Schizosaccharomyces pombe: one gene and its partners. The protein of the gene in region 3 interacts with the protein of the main gene of each other region in a pairwise test. Each region holds a gene or a part of one and is shown on either strand. Other genes may lie near its edges.

The links. Proteins that work in one complex are often made in the same cells at the same time.
Region 1: the proteins of cap1 (region 3) and tef101 interact in a two-hybrid assay, tested with the Schizosaccharomyces pombe proteins (one study listed by BioGRID).
Region 2: the proteins of cap1 (region 3) and lsb1 interact in a two-hybrid assay, tested with the Schizosaccharomyces pombe proteins (one study listed by BioGRID).

The regions. Positions count from the first base shown.
Region 1 is NC_003421.2:266,483-271,516, reverse strand, and holds tef101 (translation elongation factor EF-1 alpha Ef1a-a), read left to right. Parts: upstream 1-2,000; 5' UTR 2,001-2,037; coding exon 2,038-3,420; 3' UTR 3,421-3,562; downstream 3,563-5,034. Other genes in the region: ugp1 (UTP-glucose-1-phosphate uridylyltransferase), read right to left, coding at 1-551; protein efr3, read right to left, coding at 3,636-5,034. UniProt on the Schizosaccharomyces pombe protein: This protein promotes the GTP-dependent binding of aminoacyl-tRNA to the A-site of ribosomes during protein biosynthesis.
Region 2 is NC_003423.3:719,535-724,346, forward strand, and holds lsb1 (SH3 domain-containing protein), read right to left. Parts: upstream 2,921-4,812; 5' UTR 2,810-2,920; coding exon 1,919-2,809; 3' UTR 1,473-1,918; downstream 1-1,472. Other genes in the region: meiosis inducing protein Mei3, read left to right, coding at 272-718; copper chaperone Sco1, read left to right, coding at 4,225-4,812.
Region 3 is NC_003421.2:422,799-429,636, forward strand, and holds cap1 (adenylyl cyclase-associated protein Cap1), read right to left. Parts: upstream 3,565-6,838; 5' UTR 3,479-3,564; coding exon 3,420-3,478; intron 3,346-3,419; coding exon 1,749-3,345; 3' UTR 954-1,748; downstream 1-953. UniProt on the Schizosaccharomyces pombe protein: The N-terminal domain binds to adenylyl cyclase, thereby enabling adenylyl cyclase to be activated by upstream regulatory signals, such as Ras. The C-terminal domain is required for normal cellular morphology and growth control.

The DNA.
Region 1 (5,034 bases), 160 kb from region 3:
TCGAAAGTAGAAATATCAATCTTGCAGCCTGCATATTTTCGAAGAACTTTACAGGTTTCATCATTTGTATCGTAAGAGTTCATTAAAATGAAAGGCACGGACACATCGTACCGTCTGTTAAGATATTCGATTTGGCGAATGCTAAGGTCGAGGAAACTTTGATTGTCACGAACCTCAATCATGGCTTTAGGATAATTCACACCCAACGCATTTCCCATACCTCCATTTAATTTAACAACTGCAAGCCGATTTAAGTACTTTCCAGCATTTTTGCATAACGGTAAATCACCGTAATCTATCATGTCTTCGGGTCCCAGAGGCCGGATAGAATCCCAATCACATTCATAACCTTTAACTGTGTGTAATAAATATCTTCTATACAAAGCAAAGAAGTTGTCCATTTGTATGCCAAACGTTTTTTTATCCGAAACTCTGGAATTCAGTACAAGTTTATCTAATTCGTTTTTCATCGTACTGGCAGATATGCTAACTGCAACACTGTCAAAGTCCAAAGTGGACTGTGATTTAAAATGAATTCGACGATGCAACATTTTGGAGTTTTGTCGATTCTCCCACTTTTTGGGGTGAGAGTGGTAGGATGAAATGAACCACTAGTTTTAACGATATACACTCCGATGTTCCAACGTGATCTTTTTCACTTGATATCCTCCTTGTTCAGATACTGGCGGATTCTTTTCTGCTATGGATTAGAAAGATAATTACGACAAGTTATTTTGTGTCAAAAATGTCCAAGTTTCTTTTATTGTGTATATCTATCACTAAGTCTTATTACAGTCAGTTCTCGACAAAAAGACTCAAAACTATTAGATACAATTTGTTTTTTATTCTATAAGTGAATTTAATAAAACTTCTCTGTATTAATTTGCATACAGTGACAAATCATTCTGTATGGTTTCGAAATAAGGGCAATATACCTTAAATAACAAACTGAGACACTTTATATCTATGTTTTACGTCTTTTGTTTTATTAAGTAGATTGGTAAAGATGCAACTTATTCAACTTAAATTCAAAACAAAGCAGATAAACAGAAAATCGTTTGCTTGGGCTGAAATAAACAAGTCCAAACTATGGTACTTAAGAAATTACTCGCAACGTTTAAGTTACTAGAAGATATAGAGCTTATGATTACAATGCTATGTTTGCATATCAATACTTCTATTGTTATAAGAAGTAGACTTTGCTTAAATGATTCTGCTGGAATTATCGACAACCATCAGAGTCAAAAAAATTCCTCATACTGCACAACTTTTTGACATGCATTTTTATTATCAGATTAAAACGTTCGCAATTGAAAATTTGATAAAAAGCTGTTTGTTCGCCTAAATTTCAGTATAGCTAGTTCAATGACTAGCTAGGTAATCAATTCAAGTATAGTGAAATGTCTATCACATAGAGTTATAAAGAAAATCAGCTATTTCTAAAAAACACTAACAGAGGATTTGAATTATTGTGGTCATTTATTACTTCATTAATTGTTTCGAGTAAGCCCTTTCTATGTGTTTCACTTGTAATTACCTATTGTTCAACATTCTTTTAGGTCTATTGTTTATAGTTAATAAAAATGAATCTACGTTCTATTGCGCTATATTTATTTAACACAGGCCGACGTAGTTCATTATTAAAATGCAGACTTTCTTATATTAGCTTAACGATTGCTAATCACATTTTGTCACACTGCTATGCAGTTGTTATAGGATAGTATTTAGTTTTTTATAACTCGCTTTGCTTATGATGGAATAAACTCCTTAGAGTCTTCAATAATTATTTACATATGACTTTACGTCCTTTTAAATATACATAGGCTTTTCTCACCTTTTCCACATAAACTATAAGATTCATACCAATAAACTACTTTAACAGCTATTTGCCGTAGTCTTCTGCAGCTCGGTAACCAGATTTCATCTAAAAGTAGTCACATATTTTCTTGTGGAGAGCAGTCACAAATCACTTAGTAGTACTAGAAGGATGCTTCGCCTTTGTCATTCACCACACGCCAAAAAATTTAATTGTAAAAAATGGGCAAGGAAAAGGGACATATTAACGTCGTTGTTATCGGTCACGTCGATTCTGGTAAGTCTACCACCACTGGTCACCTGATTTACAAGTGCGGTGGTATTGACAAGCGTACCATTGAAAAATTCGAGAAGGAAGCCACCGAGTTGGGTAAGGGTTCCTTCAAGTACGCCTGGGTTTTGGACAAGCTCAAGGCCGAGCGTGAACGTGGTATCACTATCGACATTGCCCTTTGGAAGTTCGAGACTCCCAAGTACAATGTTACTGTCATTGATGCCCCCGGTCACCGTGATTTCATCAAGAACATGATTACCGGTACTTCTCAAGCTGACTGTGCTGTCCTTATTATTGGTGGTGGTACTGGTGAGTTCGAGGCTGGTATCTCCAAGGATGGTCAAACCCGTGAGCACGCTTTGCTTGCTTACACCTTGGGTGTCAAGCAACTTATTGTTGCCGTCAACAAGATGGACACCACTGGCTGGTCCCAAGCTCGTTTCGAGGAAATCGTTAAGGAGACCTCCAACTTCATCAAGAAGGTCGGTTTCAACCCCAAGACCGTTCCTTTCGTCCCTGTCTCCGGTTTCCAAGGTGATAACATGATTGAGCCCACCACCAACATGCCCTGGTACCAAGGCTGGCAAAAGGAGACCAAGGCTGGTGTCGTCAAGGGTAAGACTCTTTTGGAGGCTATTGACTCCATTGAGCCCCCTGCACGTCCCACTGACAAGCCTCTTCGTCTCCCCCTTCAAGATGTTTACAAGATCGGTGGTATTGGTACAGTTCCCGTCGGTCGTGTTGAGACTGGTGTTATCAAGCCCGGTATGATTGTCACCTTCGCTCCCGCTGGTGTCACTACCGAAGTCAAGTCTGTTGAGATGCACCACGAGTCTCTCGACGCTGGTCTTCCCGGTGACAACGTTGGTTTCAACGTTAAGAACGTTTCCGTCAAGGATATTCGCCGTGGTAACGTCTGTGGTGACTCCAAGAACGATCCTCCCATGGGTTGTGCTAGCTTCACCGCTCAAGTCATCATTCTTAACCACCCCGGTCAAATCTCTGCTGGTTACTCTCCTGTTTTGGATTGCCACACTGCTCACATTGCTTGCAAGTTCGCTGAGCTCATTGAGAAGATTGACCGTCGTTCCGGTAAGAAGATTGAGGAGTCCCCCAAGTTTGTCAAGTCTGGTGATGCTTGCATTGCTAAGATGGTTCCTTCCAAGCCTATGTGTGTTGAAGCTTTCACTGACTACGCTCCTCTTGGTCGTTTCGCTGTCCGTGACATGCGTCAAACCGTCGCTGTCGGTGTCATCAAGGCCGTTGAGAAGGTTGCCCCTGGTGCCGCTAAGGTCACTAAGGCCGCTGTTAAGGCTGGCGCCAAGAAGTAAACATTTTTTACTTCGGATTTAAGTAGATCTTGAGTTGTTGTAATCAGGATAGGCTAGTGAATGTTATATTGTTGATTAATATAATTTGGTATACTACTCAGTAATTAAATTTACTTATAACTTAGGAATTGAAATTTAAATTGCATGGTTAAATATAGATTTGCAACGATAATTCTTTTTTTCATTTTTTAAGTGCAAAATATGTATATGTAGAACTAAGTGCGTACATATGGAGGACTTTGAATAGGTGTCGGAGACATAGCACGATTAAGATTCAACATATCAAGCAGAGGTACACGGTTGCTCGTTTGTCTTGTAAGATTTATTTCCGACGGAGAACGTACGACAGTACTAGCAGTGTGTGGCCTTGATAGAGCCTGTTTCAATGTGCTAACCATTTCTCCACGTTGTGATTGCTGGTGAATAGAAACGAGCGACTTGGTAGCATGAAGTAAAGGATTTTGTTGGTAATCCGAAGCCGGTGATATAAATGGAAGTGAATATTCTGAAGAAGAAGTAAAAGACTTTTCGCGAGACGGTTTCTTTAATTTTTGAATAATATCGGTGTACTTGGGGTGTCGCGATTGCTCAGCAAATAGTAGTCTAGAGTCCTCTGGGAATACTTTCGGGCTTTTCTCCAATAATTCATTTACAACCATGTCCAAAGGCAACATGACTTCCTCGGTAGAGGCATTTGTTAGTTTCTCCCAAGAATGCGTAGAAGAACCTCTGTTCAAGAGACTCGAAGGTAATGAGCTAGATAATGAATCAAGCCACTTTCGTCCACTTGACTGAAGAGTTGTGATCTTCAAATTCTCTCCAATATAGATGATATAATAAGCAGTAACCGCCTCGGCAATACAGCGAGGAGGATCATTTTCAAAGGGTCGTAGTCCGCGATACATAGCAGGTAATACCGCTGTTACAGAAACTGGACCATAAAGCTGGTAAAGCCTTTGGATGATGAGTTTTAGAATATAAAATTCAGACTGCACCGAAAACACCTTGAGCCAACGTTCAATATGCCAACTGGTTTCATATATAAAATCCCATAATACAGAAAATGATGTGATTGCACTTTTCCGTAAAATAGTATCGAAATTTATTAAAGATGGACGGAGAAAGCACAAAAATTCGTAGAACACCTCAGCAGTTTTTATTCGTACAAAAGGTGACTGGGAAGTGTGAAGACGTTCAGCGGATTTGGGCCAGCTATGCAACAAAAAGTCGGTAACTAAAGAGAGAGGAGCACTGGATTCTTTTTTTGTATTTAGCTTTTCATTTTGCAGCTTATGAAAAGCTGTTAAAGCTACCATTTGTATAGCAGAAGAAGTTTCAGAATTAGCAAGAGTGTCGATTTCTCGCCATACATCAGCAAATTCTTCATCGTAATATTGATGCTTAGTTAAACAGGTGATACAAACCAAAAGTAAATAAAGGCGCCTAGGGAGCTTTTCCGATGGAGATTCACACATATTATACCAAGTTTGGTCATCAGCATCGAATGAATTGACAGCGTTGATAAGATGCGACCCCAAATCACGTAACACGTCAATAACGGATAAGCCAGAAATTGAGTTTTTCGAGTTAAGAATGGAGTAAATCATGTATGGC
Region 2 (4,812 bases), on a different chromosome or scaffold from region 3:
ATTTTCACTTTCTGTACTGTGATTGTATACAAAAAAATAATCTTTTATTTGTTTAATAGTTTTTTTTGTTTCATTTGCAAATATCAAATACTTTACACGAAATTGAAAAACCTCCGTGAGCCATGGGTTTGAAAGAAATGTGCTGCGTTAGTATAAGTATGAGTGCTTAGTCGCTCATTTCTGCATCCATTTTCTTATCCTCTTATTCTTTCTATTATCTAATTCACATCAAACTATATTCTACTTTTACAATCACTTTCTACTTCTAACAATGAGCTCTCAAAACACCTCCAACAGCCGTCACCCAGCAAGCAGCGCTTCTGCTTTACCAAATCGCACCAATACGGCAAGACGCTCAACTTCTCCCAGAACTAGTACTGGAAGCTCCAGTACTAACACTAACACCAAAACTGTTGACCATGCCGGTACCACTTTCATCAGCTCTACAAGCAAACGCGGCCGTTCTACCAAAGCTGGATCGGTACATAGCGTTCCCATGAAACGCACTAAACGTGTTCGCCGAACCCCTGCACAACGCATTGAACATGAAAATAAAGAAAATATTCAGACTGAAAAGGTTTATAGGATTAAGCCTGTCCAAAGAGTTCTTTCTCCCTCAGACCTCACTAACGAACTAACCATCCTGGACCTATTTCATGTTCCTCGACCTAACGAGACTTTTGACATCACCGACCGTGTAAACAACACCTCTCGCTAAGCAACTGCTTAAATTAGCTTAATTTTCTTCGATCCTGAATGACTAATGCCGAAGGGGAATATGAACACCACATAAAAATTGAAAGAAATTCTCTTTCGAGCATTAATTTTTATTAATTAAACCGCTGTTATAGGAAATTTTCATCCTAACTATACAGCTATTATATTTGAACTTGCATACTTATTTTCATGTTTTCCATTTTTACAACAAAAAAGAAAAAAAATTAAAACAAATTTAGTCCTTTCATTCATTCCCCAGTGCTTTCAGACGCTTTTTATAACAATTCTCCCTTGAGTTTCATTTCTGTTCATAGTCTCATTATTCTTTATTGTGTGTTGACTTCTTTTATTTTTAAACAAAGGTTCATTTTTATTGTCGTTCTCTTTTTTTTTTGAAATTCTGCTACTTTCTCTTGGAATCCCCATCAACGTGTTACCGAATTTGATTCATCATTATTCATACATCTTCCATTTTTGTTGGACATTCGCTGTCTCCAGTTTTTACTTTATCTTCCCATTTTAATAATGTGAGTCTTTACATTCATGGGATTTCCACGTCGATTCTTTTTTATTGCTTAATGGAAACGATTCTGACCGGACATCGTAATTAAATCTCTAACAAAGGCTACCTAATTTATACTTCCTCATCCGTTTACTATTTTTTGCTTTAATATACGTTAAGCAATAGAACAATTTACCATAGCATATTAACAAATCTAATACACTGTCATTCGTTCCCTATTAATCATATTTTTGCTTTGTAATTTATTTTTTTTATTATGGAATTAAAATATAAACGGTATGAAAGTCGTAAAAAGAAAAACACTAAAAATAAACAAAAGTCAAGAGACATGCGTATTTAATAGTACGCATCGATAATCATAAAGAATATGCAACAATGTTTGGATATCGAATTCATACACATAAATGAGGTGTCTCAATCTATGAAGAAGCAGCTATGCCGCGGTGTTGCTTTATAAGCATAAAGCATAGTCGAGAAAAAGACAAAAGACCAAAGGAGTAAACATGAACAAGGGAAATGCATTCGCGATATACGGAAATTTCTACTTGGAAATTTCAAAATAAAAAACAACTGCGCACCAACGATAACAAACACAGGTGCTAGTTCAACCACACAGAAAGTTTTACTTATATAAAGGAAGAAAAAAAGCATAGAAAAAGGAAAGAAACGAACTCGCATTTAAAAAATGGAATTGACGAGATCAGCGCCAGCAGTTGCACCAGCACCGAATACAAATGCAGAACCCAAACCACTACCAATCTTCTTGAATGTTGATGAGTGCTTGTGCTCGGTCGGTTGTGCAACCACGATGGGTTGTTGAGGCGCCTGAGGATAGGCTTGGACAGGTGGATATGGTGCTTGCTGAGGTGGATATGCTGTTTGCTGATACTGCATGGGAGGTGCCGAAGAAGATGCTGCTGGGGGATAGTTTTGCTGTGGTGGAGGAGGAGGAGGTTGAGCTTTAACGGCAGAATCTTCCAACAAACGCACATAGTTAGAAGGGAAGATTCCTTCCTTTCCATTCAATTCACCACGCCACCAATCGTTATTGACATGCTCAAGTACAATGATAACTTCGCCAGCATGGAAACCTAAATCACCAGCATCAGGGCCAGGAAAGTCGTACATCGCCAAAACCCGCTCAACGTTCTTATGGGCAGTATTGGGTCCAGGATAGCTGGGAGGAGGGGGAAGCTTCTCGGTAGATGAATTGACACTTGAAGCCTCGCTTTGCTTCTGTGGGGCAGGCACTCCAGGCAGCTTACGAGGTTCCTCGGGTGTCCTCTTTTCTCCAGAGTTTTGAGACAAAGACATTGCTGCTACGGCAGACGCTACCGATCCTGCTCTTTTTTCCACAGAGCTCTTCCGCTTGGGCAAGGGAAGGGGTACTGAGGACTCAACAGGTTGAGCAGCTGGAGCAGTTACAGGACTAGCGGGACCGTCCTGTAAATGGATATTTGCGTGAACCCAATCCAAAGCACTCCTTTCAACTACGCCCTCATCAACAAGGAATTGGAAGTCGTTGTAGATTCCACGAATAACATGATTCAGGTAGTTTTTATGATCCATATTTCTATGGAAATTTATTACTTAACTCTTTAAGATCTCAAATAAAAATTATTTCAGTTAATTCTTATCAATCTTTAAAAGTTTTGCTGATTAGTGGTAATGGCGGAAGGTAGGTTTACAACTACCGCTTGGTGTGTATACCTGGTAGGTATATATATGGAAAAAACATACGAAGATCGTGGCGCCAAAATTCCAATGCTTTCCACCGGGGCTGAAAAACAATGCAATTTTTTTTAAAAAAATCCTTTTATATAGTAAAATGAGAACTTGTGTGCCATAAGTTTTCGTTAGAATTTTTCAAAAAATTGAATTATGTGAGCAAGTTATTAAGTGGAATTATTTTTAACTTAGAACATTTGAACTGTCAAGTTCAATGTATCAGGAAAAAATATTGAAAATTTGAGAAAGAATTTTTTCCTAGGTATGGCTACAAAATATCGAACAATTTGATGAAATAGGAATTTCTAACCATTTGTTATGTCTCAATTAAATTTCGCCGTATGTAGAGCCTTTGCTTTCAGATATTCGTAAAAACATACAAAAAAGCATGGCACTAGCTGTGTTTTCGTATAAATAAAAAAGGTCCTTAGTATAGTTATCCAGACGATATTTTTCAATTTCAAATCTCACTTCAGGTACCTGAAAACATCCCTAAGTAGAAGTAATATTTTTGTATCCTGACTTGAAATCTGGGCTTTTAAAAAAATGATTTTGGTGCTTTAGAATGCTGTGTGAATTGAATTTTCAATCTCTCAACAAATGCGTCTCAGCGCAGTATAATTGGTTTCCAACGGAAATTTATTATTTGTCAAAAATAAAAATAAATCTCACAAGTTGTGTATATTTGACAATTCCAGCAAAGCCGCATAGACGGTATGCATGGTCTTTATTCTTCCAAAAAAAAATATTCAATAATCACATACTATAATATAGCGATTTGAACAAGCTAAGTAACCGTTTGAGTAATGATTCTTTCATTTATAAGTCATTCTGATCCTTGACGAAATTCATATTTTGTGTCTATTTTCATTCGTATTAAAACTTAGATTACATTGAAATTACAGCATTGGAGAAGCGGCTATATGCATATGAACTCTTTAAAGGATTAGCGATAAAATTACGTTTTTTTTGAACGCTAAAATGTTTGCAGTAATTTTGGTGAAATTCTATTTTCAACGTCTTCATTACCACCCAAATACCCATACTGACGTGAAATTGGACTAACTTGGAGAGGCTTATTCTTTGTGAGAAATTGTTTTCTCCGTTTTGTATTTGAAGAGACAGAAAAGATTTTAAATTTTTTTAAAACTTGCTAGTCTTGGTTATACTTTTGTTACTGTTTTAACTTCAGTTTTTTGTCTTGTCCAAATATTACGATTTTTGAATCGATTGTTGGCAATCACTCAAATCAAGTAATGTTTCGAAGGGGTTTAGTTTTCTCTAGGCATTGTCATTACAGCTTGATTCGTCCTCGATTTCCTTTGAATCGTACGTGCCTAGCGCGTTTTGCCGACGGTCGCAAAAATCTAGCTACTGACAATCGAACGCAGACATACCAATCATGGCGTGGAATGATTTCTATAAGAGCATTGCTTCTTGCAGCTGCAACAAGCGTTGGCCTTTATGCTTATTTCCAACATGAAAAGAAAAAAGTGTTGGAGAGGCAAAACGACAAGGTTTTGGCTACCATAGGTCGTCCCCAATTAGGAGGTGCTTTTTCTTTAATTGATCATCATGGAAATCGAGTTACTGATAACGATTTCAAGGGAAAATTTTCCTTAATCTACTTTGGTTTCACCAGATGCCCCGACATTTGCCCCGACGAGCTCGACAAAATGTCAGCAGCTATTGATATTGTAAACAATGTTGTTGGAGACGTGGTTTATCCTATTTTCATAACCTGTGATCCAGCCCGTGATCCTCCGCAAGAAATGGCTGAATACCTTGAAGATTTCAATCCTAAAATCGTTGGTCTCACAGGATCCTATGAAGAAATAAAAGAT
Region 3 (6,838 bases):
GTGAGACAGAGAGGGGGGTAAAAGAAATTTCAATAGAAAATGTCCAGTTGAAAGGTTGATTCTTCTTTTCTTCAGAAGATACTAGACACTATATCAAAAGTTAGAAAAATTTGTTGAAAATAAAATATGTATATATATGCAAACATGAGTAGCCGCATCCTACACCATAACGTTTATACGGACTGACTAGCAAAGCAAAGCTACTCGACATCCTGGTTACAAACAAACTCCTCATGCCGATTCTAAGCATAAAAAAGCATATGCGTATAGCATCTCTTATAAAATATTCCTTCAGAAAGTCCTGTACCTAGTGACCTCGGAGAAACGGGTACGGTACATAAAGACTGGCGTAGCTGTTTATGTCAAGACTTTTTTCCAAAAAAAATATCGACTTTCGTGTGTATAAAAAGGTCTCAAGAGTAGTATTTACGTCGGTTTATTCATTTTTAAAATATTTTTTCTGGCAAATTGGGATGTAACTTGATCGTTTTGCATACTCACTTTTACTTACCTTAAACTTAACAAGTTCGAGGTACGCTTTTGGAAGTCGTTTTAGATACTTTTAGGCAAGGTCCCGAGCTTTGTTGATTATACGTTGACTATTTGGAAGATATGTTGAAGTTGAGAATCACACAGTGAGTTGGTACAGTATATATACGAATTGTGGGGTAGTGCTTACACTCAATATAAGGTTGTAGCATTACGCAATCGATCTCAACGGGCATTAAAGATCGAACGCCGATTTGTCAAGAACGACGACTGGCTAAAATAGCAAACCGCAGGACAGTGCAAAGCAATGCGGAATAAATTCCTAAAACTCGTATAGTGGCTTCTTGCTACACTACTGTAAATATTTGGCAGAAAGAAAAGCTACTGTACTATTTCAACTCTACAATGGAAACAGATTATACAGGCAGCTGTACAATGTAAGAATGAAAGTGACAGTTGTAAAGTTATAGTTCAAGCCTCAAAGAAAAAATATTTTGTATATTATATATATGTATATATGTATATATTTATAGATGAACTCATTCAACTATAAAACTTCCAAAATCTTCCTTTCCTCTTTTATTGAACAGCATGGCTTTTTTTCATAAAAACATAACATGAGCAAAACAGCAATCGAGAAAATGATACCTTAGCTAGAGGATTTGTTTAGACTGAAAAACAAAAACAAAAAGAAGATGATGATGAATTCAATTGGCGAACGGAAGACACTTAAAATCCTTTCGAGTTAAAATCAACAGGGAAAAAGAAATGAGGAAGCGTCATATACAACAGCCTTATCATTGTCATCCATAAATTCTATTTGCACACAAACAATCACTAAATTTAAGCTTCTATATCGTTTAACTCGTAAAATAACCACTATTCGTATGTATGCATGCACGCATATATCATAAAGTCAACGTAGCAATTCGTGGTACGGACAACAACTTTTCCCGCGCATTATCCGATCCCATTCAATATAAAGATGTATGTGGGGAAGTACACATTGAGTCCAAGGGATATTTGGGCAAAAGGTAAATCGCATCGGAAAGTCGAAAGCGAAGGGAAAACAAATATTTGTATCTCTGAAATAAGCCGAAGATTTGATTGATCAATTTTACAAAACATCGAGCAAAGTGTGTCGTTAGTAGCAGTAAAAGAAAAAGATGAAGATGAATAAAAAGCTCTAGACAAATCAACTTAAATCTTTACTATGAAACCGTTAGGAATATAGCTTGAAAAAGCTCTCTGAGAAAAACTTATTCGTGACGTACAATCTCAGAGACAAGCTCTCCCTTTTCATTCACCTTGTGCTTGATCTGCTCGGGAACAGCACGTTCAGCATAATCTCCCTCTTCGTTGGGGACGTTGATGTTCAAGCTTGTTGATTTACTAGTGACAACTTCGGACGACAACGAAGATTTGCTCAAATAGATGGAACCTCCATCGCATTGGTCGATAACAATCATTGGAACGTGATTCATAACTTGGCAGCCAAAATTGGAACACTTAGCAATATCAAAAGCGGCCACTAAAGTATCTACTACAACGCTAGTACGTTTACAGTTGCTCATGGAAACGGTGTTTAACTTTCCTTTAATTATAATTGTGCAATTGGAGCAACCGAAAATTTGCACTGAGTGGTTGAGCTCCACAGAATCCAAGACTATACTGTGATTGTCGACTTGGTTTTCAACAAACCACTTAGTATTTTCCAACTCAATGCGAGGTGGTTTAACGGGAGCAGTTTCCGCTGGCTTAGAAGGAGCAGAGCTTTTGATTTTAGGCTTAGGACCAGGAGTGGGTCCCGTTTTACGTAAATTCGGATTTTTGTGGGTCATTTCACTCTTATCCACCTTACGAAGTCCGGATGTAATTCCCTCGCCTTTATTAATTTCGGCAAACACCGCTCCCATATCACCTTTATTATCAGCAGGTGCGGGCTCGTTGCTATCCTTCCAAAAATCATTAGATGGAGGAGGTGGTGGTGGTGGTGGAGGCAAGCCGCCGTTTGCAGAATCGCCAGAAGATGGTGCCTGAGTTTTCGAAGCAGACAAGTTTGCCAAAGCCGTTTTCAAGGGTACTGCATCCTGTTTAGTAGACCAGGTGAGACCGGTTTTGAAGTGGGTCTTGACGTATGTAATCAATTCAGTCAACAGAGTAAGGTAAGAACGAACCCATTCGATTTGCAAGTCATCTTTACCTTTAAACTCTTTCATTACACGGTTGGCGTAGAATTGGGACGAATCTTTCATTTCAGACATAAAGGATAATGGAGTGGGCTCAACTGTGACCCAGCCCAAAATACTAATTCCACTCATGACGGTAGAAAGTTGATTGAACTCGGGGGCGGTGCGGTGTTCATCTCGAATATTGGTAATAGTGAGCAGTTCAGATTGGATAGGCTTGAGGAATTCCAAGAGTTCCGGGGAATCCATGTCGGGTTTCTGGGCTTTCAAAGCGACGCTCAAAACCTGACGTAAAAGGTTAAAAGCCTTCTCGACGTGTTCACTTTGTTCGGCAATCAAACCACCAATTTTTTTACTCAATTCCATGTATTTAGATAAATACTTGGAACAAAATTCATCGTAGGCGGAAATGGAAGCAGGAACCGCTTCAACGGCAGAGGTGGATGTAAGACTTCTGTTCCGAGGACTGATAGCAGCCGCAACTTGATCATGTAATGATGCGACAGCAGGACTACCAGTCGACACGGTTGGGGCCGTTGGAGTACCAATGTTGAAGGATATGTTGTGGGTTTGACTGTTTGAATCTCTAGAAGGACGATGCATGTTGGGAAGAGGCTTATGACCACTTTCCACAAGATCCTCCAAACGAGAAGTTGCCGCTTCCAGTCTATATGAGTAAATGTTAGATGCATAATCAATTAAAGACTATTACTCTTTTAGCAGTTTAATGCAATTACATACCGTTTGAGAATCGTGGTAAAATTGTAGCCTGTTTCACGTATATTGATCATATCCGACATGGTTAGACGAAAAGAAAATGTGTTTAGCGGAGGTTAAGTGATTTTTATAATGCAACGCAACAAATATAGTAAGTGTGGTGGTGGATGGAGGACGAAGGAACATAGAGCCGGCTTAAGCAATATGAAACTCGGTATCGAAAAAAGCGACTTAACCTTTTCAGCTGTAGTATAAACTAGCGTTTTTATTATATAAAAAATTGAAAAAACGATAACTATTTCCCTCTTTTGAAGCTAGAAGAGCTACTGGCAATGATCGTGTCTTGGCTGTGAACAAACATAAATACTTAACATAAAAAAATAATTCCATATTCGCGCTGCACCTTACTTTAGCCAAAAAAAATGTAATTATTAAATGCACCGAACCTCTGCTGAGATGAGTCCAGAGATTATCGAGGTAAGGTTTTTAATCTGGCAGCTTCGTCTGTTGTGCAATCGAAACTATATACGCTTTCTGAGTTAAAAGATTGGAAAAGAGAAGCAGCGATGCCGTTGCTGAGCTTTTAATTTTTGACGTGCTGTTTACAGTCGCTAAACTTTTGACGAAGTTCAATCCTTTTCCTACATATCCCTATGCTTACTCTAAGTATAGTCTCATTGTTGAAATGTTAATGCCTCAATTTTTTAAAAAGAATTTGTTTACGATGAAAGTGAAGGAATGCAGTTATTTAAACGACTATAATAACATTGCCTGTACAGTATTGGCAAATAAGACCTAGCAAAACAACGTTGAAAATTATGTTGATTTATAATTTAGGAGTAAATTGATTTTACTAAGTCATTTTACATTAATCATACTTTTATTTATTAATTTAAATGGCTGCTGGCAAATAAGGCGGTACACACGCATTTGTAATTTTGCTGTACTGCGTTAATGTCTTGAACCCTATAACGTTTAAGGAAAGCTAAGTTGGGGTGAATAAAAAGGGCAGTGACAAAATAAATGTGTCAGAAGCAATTGCATTTTGAAAATGAGTTTTGGAATTCTACTTTTCACTTGCTATTATTGAAAAAACAGTTTGCTTTGAAACGAGTATTGCTCATTTATTTATGTTGAGCGGCGGGAACTGAACTCCAGAGTGAATATTCTTGATTTCGCTGTTTCGTTTGTCGCAATCACAGCAATTAATTCGCGCATGTGTTTTATTAAATAAAGAATTATCTTGATGAAATGAAGAATAATTACACTTCCTTGAAAAGTCCTCTAGATGAAGAAGATGAATTGAAGACAGATCATGAAATCGATTTGGAAAAAGGCCTGCTTCCAGAATATAATTCAGAGGAAGAGGGCGCATTACCTCCATATTCAGGTAAGAATTGTAAATAATAAGAAAGGAATTACTCAATTGAAAGTTGAAACTTGCCATTGCTGTAAAATAACTTGGATGTGATCATTGTTTATAGTCGGCCATGCATGCACACACTTTGATACATGCACTTTCTTTACTAAAGTATTTCAATCATATTAATTTAAACAGATTACGCACGTGTAAGCAATCCTCCTAACATACATAGAGAAAACCATTCTTCCGGGACGACAGATGATTCTTCCCCTTTTTTGATTAAACTACTAATATCATTCACTCCAATCGTTCTACTCAATGCTCTAGCAGTTTGTTATCTAAAGTATAAAGACGCTTTCTTTAAAAATTATGGTGCAGCGGAATGGACGTTATTTGGATTTTGGTGTCTTGTTTGCACTTTGGCTTTAATATTCTTGACTTGTAAGTGAGACAATGGGGTTAATCTTACCTTCAGTCACTAACTCATTAGACTTCTATGAAAAGGGCCAAGGCAGTTAAAGTAACTGTAAATTTCTTGGCACAATGTGTAAAGGTAACTGCGGTCGGCTTGTACAACTCAAGGGAAAAATGGGTAGTAATAATTTGGCTATTATGGGTAGTCATTTGCTATACACTTTTTCTTCGCGCCAAATTCGGTAACCTGAACTTATACAAGGCTCTCATCTGTTCTACATGCAGTATTTCAGCTGCTTTACTTTTATTTTTACTATATGGTATGTGAAGTTATGGAGTTACCATTACTGACCGCTAACACGCAGTTCGTCTTCCATTTTGGACACTCAAGCATATGCTTTTTGGTTTGTTTCAAATGCTGGGTGTACAAAGTTGTGTCGTTATTGTACAGAAAGGTTTGATGCATTCATTTGATAAACATATCGACGGGACAGGCTACGAAATTGAAGCCACTTCACTCTTTGTTATAGGCAATTTTCTTTTCTTTTACGAAATGGGTTTGTTCAATATTCCTGTAATTTATTCTAACCGTATCAGAATGTCCAGGTGCTCTCAAAAGGATGCCCAAATTTATCAGGAATGGTATAGCTTCTTTCCTAGGTATGTGTATTCAACCAACTGTATGAATGATTTTTTACTTACCCGACTAGGAGGTATAGCAAATGCGATTGGAGGTGCCAACGATAATAATGACATTCCCTTGGAAGAAACGGAGGCCGAAAGCGAAGTCTAATTGCTTTATTAATGTAGTTGTCGCTACAGTTGGAAAACCTCTTTACCAAAATCACCAATGCAGAGAAGCTGCGGCGTTTTTTAAAAAATTAGCACCAACTTTCTTTAATCATCCTCTTTCACTATAAGTTTATGGAATATATGCTTAACTCATTCTTCCAATTACTATAAATTGTCAAACCAATGCATCGCTTGAAATGATTCGCGATGTTGGTTAACATACATTATGAAAGCGATTTATGAAGTTTACAATAATGGTTTTATTATTCAAAAAAAAGAGTTTGCTTACTGGTTGTTACATTTAACTATTGCAATAAAAAAACTCGCCGTGCTCTTTCATATTGCATTTATGATTTGGATCAAATATTTGAGCAAACTGATTTTAGATCATATTATCAGCTTTTCCTGATGTTTCCTATTCTTGTTAATGATCCACTTTTTTTGCCTGGGGATATTAATAAATTAGTTAGCGTTAGGATTCAATTTAGGTGGATGAATGCGAATGTTTACATCTGGAAGGTTATTAAGATAAGAAACAAAATGCACAAGGTTGTAACATACAGTGGTTGGTTGTTTAAAGCCTTTATATCTTATCGACAACATTGGCCGATTATTGCAGAAGGGTGTTACAATTGAAACTCTTGCATGTTCTTTCCTTTTTTTTTTTACGTGCAATCTTTCCAAATTGCAGTTTCAATTGTAGATAATGAAAATTTGTTTGTAAAAAAGCTCCAGTGGATTTTATAAATTTACTGAAGCAAGGAACTTCTTTTTTCCCCTACTAGTTGAAATATATCCTCTGAAAGGCAAAATTTTACAGCGTCCGTTAAACCAAATACTTAACCATAGTTGATGTATTAATTGATTTCCAACT